Regions from separate parts of the Mus musculus genome. Here region 2 is reported to be linked to region 1. The links are microRNA targets in miRTarBase. Many come from high-throughput screens and were not tested one by one. Region 1 holds a microRNA gene; the other region holds the end of a gene's coding sequence.

Region 1 (4,289 bases):
GGAGGAAGAAGAAATCCAGCCTCTTCTTAGCTCAGGCCAGTCTCAGAGGCCACCTGACTGACAGCAGAGTGGAGTGCCCCATGAATGTTCTGCAGGGCCTGTGTCAGCATTCTGCAAGGGCCCTGGGTACCATTCTGGGGTGAAGAAAAGCATGCTCTGCGCAGGCACTGGGTCCCAAACAGAGGCCACTCAACCCTGGCCTGAGGTTCCCACTAGCTGGACACATTCCCAGTCCCCATAGTGTTCTGGCTGAAACTCCCTCCCCCGCCATCTATCCTGGGCTGGTGAGCTGACCTGTCAGCCCTTGGTGGCACTGCAGCAGTACCATTCAGGACAATATCAACTGCCACTTGCTGACAGAGGGTTGCTTTGGGCCTACAATTGGCCTCAAAGTGTCTACCATGGAGCCCTTACAGCACACACCTGAGAGTCTCCTGGCATCAGAAGAAAACCTCAATGGGAGAGGAAACCTTCTGCTAAGGCTATAGTGACACCAATTTACAGGGAATCTGAGGCTTGGAGACTGGCTTTTGTCCCAGTTGGGGGCTGAGCTACTCAGGACTGGGCCTATGCCTGACCCCACTCTGTTCTACTCCCTTCTCATAGGGTCACACTGCTGTCTCTGAGCCTAAAGACAGAGCCCTACAGTCCCTACAAGGGACTGGGTGGATCAAAAAGGCAGAGGCAGTGGCCCAGCCTTAGGTGAAAGGTCTGAGAAGAGGGAGCGGTCAGCAGGGATTCTAGAAGCTTCCCTCGTGCAGGAATGCTGATTTTGATGTTATGGGGAGCCAGTGAAATGCAGAGTTTCCAGAGCCCAGAGTAGGTGCCAGGGCTGGTACCTGGGCTTTATCCTTGCTGACGGGTTGATGGGAAAGGTGGGATGTGAAGAACTCCAGGATGTGATACTGCAGGCTGCCATCAGAGGTGGGGGACTGAGCCAGAGGGGAGTGGACATCTTGTCAAGAAGCATGTGGGGGCAGGAACCTGTGACCTCAGGATGAGGCCATTATGTGTTAGGCCCCATTTCTATGAACCCCCCTCCCCTGAAGCCAACTGGGAGTGGAGATCTCTGACTAAGGAGAGATTCTGAGGTTGCATTCACCCTTAAGAGCTTGTTACATGATCACATCCTTGTCTTTAGCACTTAGTAAGCACAAGCATTTATGTGTGCTGGATGGTGTGTGTGTGTGTGTGTGTGTGTGTGTGTGTGTGTGTGTGCATATTGCAGAGTGGAACTGTGTACAGCCTCTGTGATTTTGACCTGACATGGAAGGTATATATCCCCAGATGCCACCCCTCCATCCCTAGGTAGGGCAACCTTCAGATCTGCTCTTCCAGGTCTCAGGTTGAGGGCCTGGCCTAGCCCTTCTCCTGCTTACTAAGGCATGGGAGCTGTGCTTCATCCCAGAACCCTGGGGACTTTTGGCCTCACAGGCTGAGTCCCACCTGGTTTCAGGGTCCCCAAAGGTCCACAGAGCAGGGCAGTGGCTGACAGCTGGTAGAAGAACAGAAGGAATTGTATTCTGATTCAAGGGTGCTTGGGGGAGTCAAGAGAAAAGGGAGTCAGAGATGGGAGGTGCACACGGAATGCCCCTCCCACCACTCCCCTACCTGGTACCCTCTGCTCCTACCACACTGCTTCCTCCTGCCCAGGGCACCTGCCTTTCACAGGGACTGCAGGTCCTGGGAAGCAACATGTTATTAAGCACCCAACCTCAAGAAAGGGCTGGGTTGGTGCCCAGACAGCTGGGAGCTGCAAGCCTAGGTCCTGCCACTTGATCTGCATCCATTGATTGATTCCCTTCCTTCTAGAGTAGGGAGGGCTAAGCAGAGATTATCCACCCGCAAGCAGGCTACAGGCACAACAAGGTACAGGGCCCAGCAGGGCCTTCTATTTGCTCTGCTCCGGGCCATGGTCTGCTGGGCTGAGGTGATATGCCACATCTCTCTCTTTGAGTGGTGGGGTTTAAGGGTTTTTCTGTTAGAGGAGGAATCATGGGGGGCACTGTAGAGGATGACCCATCTCTGACTTCAGCAGTGAGTGGGGAAACAGCTATGGGGATGGAGGCTGCAGGTATCAGGATGGGGCCATCCTGGGCTCAGCTGGGACAGAGGCACTCTGTGTGTGTAGGCCAAAGGTTTTAGGTGGAAATATTGAGGACCAGGCTGCACAACAGAGCACTGGCAAGAGAGAGGTGGGCACAGCCTTACTGGCCCCTCCCATGGTTTCTGCTCCTCTGACATCCTTCTCCATCTTAGTGGTCCCAATTGCCACCCCTCACCACATAGACAGAAGAACGAAGCTGAAACAGGAAGAAGTTAATTAAGGACACACACTCAGAAACAGAAACTCGCCCCACTCCACGGCAGGTTCTGGATAAATGGGACCCATGAGACTTTTGGCCAGCTACTATGAGCATACCCCATCCAATGGCCTCCCCTGCAGCCCCCTGGCTCTGCCTGGCCACCTCACCCAGCCAGCCCGGTGACCTGCGCTGTTCCAGTTGCCCCAGCACCGCCCCCGTCCCTCCCTCCCTCCTCGGACAAACACGGGAGTGAAGACACGGAGCCAGAGCCTGGGCACTGGCCTGAGGGCCCCGGGCAGGCTGGGTCAGGCTGCCCAGAAGCCCATGCATTGGCAGACCTGCTTGCTGAGGGTCAAAGATAGAGGAGCTGAGACCCAGCCCAACTGGAACCATAGGTGCTCAACATCAGAACAGCTAAGGCAGGCTCTGCAAAGCTCTCTACACTTCCAGGAAAGCACTGGAGTACATACCCATCGTAGGAACGTCTCTCCGTTCTACCCTACCAGCAGCTTCCTCCTTGCCAGCCCTGAAGGTGGGTGGGAGTGGAGCGGCAGTATTGTTCCCCACTGACCCCGCCCATCTCTCTCAGAGTTGGTTTCATTTTTCCAGATCTTTCCCTCCTGGGTTTTTGGGGGGCACTACCCTCCCCTGGCACTCACAGGTTTTATTTGGGGAAGGGGGTTGTTTGTTAATGGCAGGTTTTCCCCACTTTAGTCCCTTTTCTAAGCCTTGTCCCCAACCCCAAAGCCTCTCAAATTCCAAGACCCCTGCTTCTTGTGACACTTAGCATGGCACCCCATTGCAGCAAACCCATGGGCAGCAACTGCTCATTTACCTCCTCCCAAATCTGGCTGCTTGCACCCCACCCCCGGCCCCCCACTATTCTCCAGAGCAGACAGCAGCTTGTGGCTTCCTACCTTTCAGGGTCACACCCTCCTGCCACCTGCTGACAGCTCCAGCTCCTGCTCCTCCCTCACAGAGGCAGCATCCCTCTTGGTCATCATCCACAGTCACCCCAGGACTTTAGCAGAGTCCAGCATCCTGATGCTACCCACAGACATCTCTGACCTGACCTCCCCTGACACTTCAGGGACCCAATGCCTTGAAACCCTCCACCTTCTGAAGATAATGCAGAGTCATGCTACCCCGCCTCTGGTCCATTCTTCTAGAAGCTTCCTGTGCTCACGGGGGAGATGCAGAGTGGAAAGCCCACTTCCCTCACGGCCCCTAAAACACTCCAGCTGGCACGGCTTGGGGGAGTGTAGGGGCATTCGGAGTATAATCTCTCAGCACCGCAGATAAGGGAGAGGCACAGGCTACACTCCCCTCCCCAGCTGCTGGCTCCTAGAGCAGGCCTTTCTGTTGACTGGTAGGTTAGAAGTAAACCAGCCCTCTGTGCTCCTGGGTTTTCCAGCCCCAGAGGCTGAGAGTCTCCAGGACGTGACAGCCTGGAGCAAATGGCCCAGCTTTCTGGGGGACTACTCACTGCCCAGGCTCCAGGGGCATTTTCCCATTGCTTGCTCCTGTTCCCCAACAAACCTGTCTAGTCCCCGGGGGTCACACCCGAAGGAAGACATTTCAACTCCATCTCTGAAATTGGAAAAGCATCAAGCACAATCCCCTCCCCGCCCCCACCTCACTCCCAATACTTTTCCACCCTCCTGGATGCCTTCATGATTCCCGAGCCCCTGCCTCCGGTTCACCCAAATGGCAACATCACCAAGAAGAACCTCCATCACGAACAGGGACCCCCTAACTGGGGGGCATCGGCTGCTGGCACTTCTATGGACTCGATGGGAGGGGTCATCTCCGGGCAGGCAAGGGCTCCTGCCAGCTGCCTCTCCAGCATCAGGCCAGGCCCTGGGCGAACAAAGCCTGGGCGACACCTGCAGCTCCGACCGACCGCTGCCTCCTCTGCAACGGGGATGGTTCTGTACAGCTGGAGCCGGTAAGATAAGCCGGAGCTGCAGATGCAGGCGCCTG
Region 2 (4,000 bases), not on the chromosome of region 1:
GCACAGTTGTAACACAGGCCTGAAACCCTGAAAATTAGGAGGTGAACTGAGGCGGGTGATAAGTCAGAGAAAACTGTCTAGGCTAAATAATGAGATCCCATCTCAAAATAACCAAACTTGGACATTTATAACAAAAAGCGAAACAACCAAGGCCAATTGAAGGAGAATGCATTAATTGTAGTACATCTGCACAATAGAATATTTAATTTCAAAAAGAGGAATGAATTATAGGAACACTTAGTAATAATCCACATGAAGTGAAAGAAGCCAGAAGTACAGATGCTTCTCAACTCAATGTGGCTAAATCTGTATCAAATCATTCTAAGATGAAATATATTAAAAATGTTTTAAACCACCTACCTCTGGAACATTATAGCTTAGCAACATAACCGTGGAGTATAGACTTTGACCTTCAAGCCTGTGATAGGAGGCCAGAGGTTACCATGCAGCCAGCATCACCAGAGTAGAGCTCTCATGTTGCTCTCCAAGGAAAAGCCAATTTCTACTAATACATAATACTTTTATTTCACTGTCAAGTCAAAAAAAAAAAAAAATCAAAGGACTGACTCCTTAAAAAGGGACTGTACACTATGATTTATTGTAGAACATGACATTTTTGAAAAGGCAAAGTGAAGACTGAAGAAGAGAGTCATAGCTATCCAGTCCAGCCTTAAGAGTATGACAAGACTACAATCAACAACATGAGAGTTTTAGGACATCCTATATTCTTGACTATGGAAAAGTTTGCATGTCTCTGTCAAATTACTCAGATCACCACCATCAAACAAAACAAATGACTTTTGTCCTTCAGATGGCCAATTACAAAGACCAGCTCCTGCCACCCTAACCCTGTTTCTTTAGTTATGCTAAGGATCAAACCCTGCACTTCAGTCACACTAAGCAAGCATTCTGCCACTAAGCTACACCCCCAGGTAGTCAACCCATTTCTTCCATTCAGAATCCAGCTTCACATGAGGAATGCTATTACAATAATATTGTTATCCAGATCTCAACTTCAGATACATCAATGTTTCCTTAAAGATCCAAGTTTATCTCACTTTCTATGTATGTCCAGAAAATGTAGAGCTGGGCCCAGTGAGTAGTATCTGTCTATAATCCAGACATTTGGGATGCAGAAACAGGACCGTGGATTTGAGATTAACCTGTGTTTTTGGTTTGGGTGTTTTTGGTTTTTTTTAATTGGGGTTCAGGGCAGTGACAGAATGAGGAAGGGAGAAGGAAGGAGGGGAAGAATATAGCACTCAAGAGTGGGATAGAGGAAGGAAAGAAATTGTAGGCACAGAATTGTAAACGTGAAACCTAAGTATAGAAAAGGATTTTTCTAAAGACAGTAACATTTTATGTTGTTCTAAATTTTAAGGCAATGTTTTCTGTGTTAAATTATCTGGGATCAGGCAGTCAACCCCTCTGGTCTTTTGGCACCCCTGCAGTCTATCCTGGCGCCAGAGAAGCTGACCCTCGCCTATGAAGGCTCTTCATGGGGAACAGAAGAATTGGGACCTTTTCTACGCTTATGTCTCATGGATCAAAACTTCCCAGCATTTGTGGAAGAGGTGGAAAAGGAACTTAAAAAGATTACAGGGTTGAGAAACTAAAGCCCTGCACATGTATGCAACTAAGGAACTGAAGGTATTTGAATAAAGAGTATTATTCCAAGCACCTTTTATCAATGTTTTATTGTTAAAAACAGGTGAATCCACTTTTTTTGTACACCATTGCACTTCAATAATTACACAGAACACAAGTACATGCATCTACAGTTAGTACCGCATGAGAACCCAGTCAGGTTATAAAATCTATCATCAGTCATGAAATCAATGTGAAAATACAGTGTCAAACCAAAAGGTGTAACTAGAGTTGCATAGAATATCACCATGCTATTAACATTTCAGGGTCATTGAAAACAAATGGGAAATTATAAAAGTTGCCTTGATTGAATATACAAGAATAAGGTTTGACACATCAGTGCAAAAGATTTCAGAATTTACATGATTTGACAAGAGGAAAAATAGTCACTTAAAAAGCAATCAATCATACATATATACTGCAATTCATTCTAGCCGTTCAGTGGACTGTTCCAGGTTCCTAAAGTTATACGGTAAGCCCTTAGAATGCCAGACTTAAGTCTATACACTCTCATCAGTTTGTACCAGAACTGCAGCTTCCTCATCTGACGACAAATAATAAGGAATGAGTATCAGCAGCTTAAAATGAAACAAGCGTTGACTTTATTTTGGATTTCTCCCACCCCCAAAAATATAAATATATATATATATTTATATACTGTATATATCTGTAGGTTTTGCTGTACTTTACAAAATGATCACTAGATGGCAGCAGTGCGTTTAGAGCTTTGCCAATTTAACAGCTGCATAAGTAAAAAATGGCGCATGCATGATCTGATCCTCAGAGGACCTTTTCATTTCTATTTAAATATTTTTAACAAAGGGAGGGAAAGCAACATTCACAGCACATCAAGCCCAAAATAGTTTACACCTTCTACACTGAAGCATTGTTTAAAATGTACCTGGCTAGGTCACCCTTATAGGAGAGGCTAAATAAGGCATGCTTTAGACGGTCATTGTGGTGTTGCTCACTTGAAAGGGAGAGAGACCAAAGAGGTCCAAGCAGAAAACTTAGCAGGTCATGTTGCCATCGTTTTTCAGGAACCTAAAGAGCTGTAAAGAGAAGGATATCTGGAAATTAAAAGAATATACACTGTCACTCCATCACAACTATGTCAGTGCCACATCAGACACAGCTTTGGTTCAAACAGCATGCTCAGGGATGTGGTATGAAACTCTGATCTCCATGTGCCTCTAAGCATTCTGGCCCTGTTCCCTTATGGCCACATTTCTATCTTGCCTTCAGCAGAGATCACACAAAGTACTAACAGGCTTTTGGGTATAATCTGCCTAAGAAGTTAACTATTTTTTTTAACTCCTTCTAAAAAATATGTAAGTAGACTGCAATACAAGGAATTTAATATGAAATGAACCTAGTATAGTAAATATGTGGGTCAACAAAGCTGAAAGGCATTCCTTTCCATCCACTGCAGTGAACAGAAAGAACTTGTTAGTATCAGCTAGTCTGAAATTATAAAGTCTTCATGTAACACCAACTACTGAAGAATTTGTAGCAAGGTGAGCAGAAGCACAGTTCATTTGAATAGAACTTTTAAGTCTCCAAAGAAGGCATACTTACATTAAAAGCAGTACTTAATTTGTGTTTCTCTGGCGCAAGTTTTTATCTTTGTGATTGTTGGTAGAGTTGGTTTTCCTTTGGAGGAAAAAGTGGACTGTGTGAGGTCAACTAGTCACATTATTTGAAAAGGGTAACACATGGAAACAGACTCTTCACTTCTTCCATCCCTGGTGTAGCAGCAAACTCTACTCCTAAGAATGTATAACAATATTCTGCCTCCTGCTTTCAATTAATAGGTTCTTCGGACTCCCAAGGCAAACAACACACACACCTTAGATGTCTAAGCTATTAATTACTTAGAAAAGTGAGAGAGACTTACTCCTTTGAACACTAATTTCTTAACTGATAAAAGTAACCAGCAACTAGCCATGCTGAGCCCTCTGGCTTTTAACTTGTCAGCTACCAACTAGCTACCAACTACCCCTTCTCTTGCTTCCTATAATCTCCAACTCTAGGAACCCTGGCAACTTCATTCCACTCTTGGACATCAGCATTGTTAATGGAACTAGACCACTTAATTCTACAGTCCAGTTTGAAGCTAACTTATACTGCTTACTCCGATATTATTAGATTAAGCATGTCAAATACATACAATTTCAATTTCTTTTGCATACTATTTACTTCTAAGGCTAAAAACAAGATCTGGCCTAGAGATCAAAAGTCAGAATTATTTCAGGCTTTAAAAGTGTACATTGCAACTTTAATTGTAAGGGAATTGTCTTCTCATACAATCTTTAGTATTTCTTTTGACTAAACTGCAAACACAACACAATTC

What was found. The annotated mature microRNA mmu-miR-149-5p reads UCUGGCUCCGUGUCUUCACUCCC and lies in region 1 at 2,552-2,574, opposite strand. An mRNA with a match to its seed (bases 2 to 7 or 8) in the 3' UTR can be bound and repressed. Matches are read on the target gene's strand: a 7mer-m8 pairs with bases 2 to 8, a 7mer-A1 pairs with bases 2 to 7 and ends in A, and an 8mer does both.
Region 2: miRTarBase lists Nptn as a target of mmu-miR-149-5p. The part of its 3' UTR that is shown has no 7-base or 8-base seed match.

What each region holds. Positions count from the first base shown.
Region 1 is chr1:92,848,666-92,852,954 of GRCm38, reverse strand. Mir149 (microRNA 149) reads right to left here and starts at 2,577; the gene lies at 2,512-2,577. The region is part of intron 1 of Gpc1 (glypican 1); the gene reads right to left. It overlaps Gm29480 (predicted gene 29480), which reads left to right and starts at 4,158. Exons shown (of 4, transcript NR_166170.1): 1 at 4,158-4,254.
Region 2 is chr9:58,650,558-58,654,557 of GRCm38, reverse strand. Nptn (neuroplastin) reads right to left here. Exons shown (of 9, transcript NM_001357751.1): 8 at 3,226-3,300; 9 at 1,679-2,699. The coding sequence ends at 3,240. Rec114 (REC114 meiotic recombination protein) reads left to right here. Exons shown (of 6, transcript NM_028598.1): 6 at 1,452-1,702. The coding sequence ends at 1,616. Among named protein-coding and RNA genes, the nearest start is that of Nptn, 70 kb to the right of the region's middle.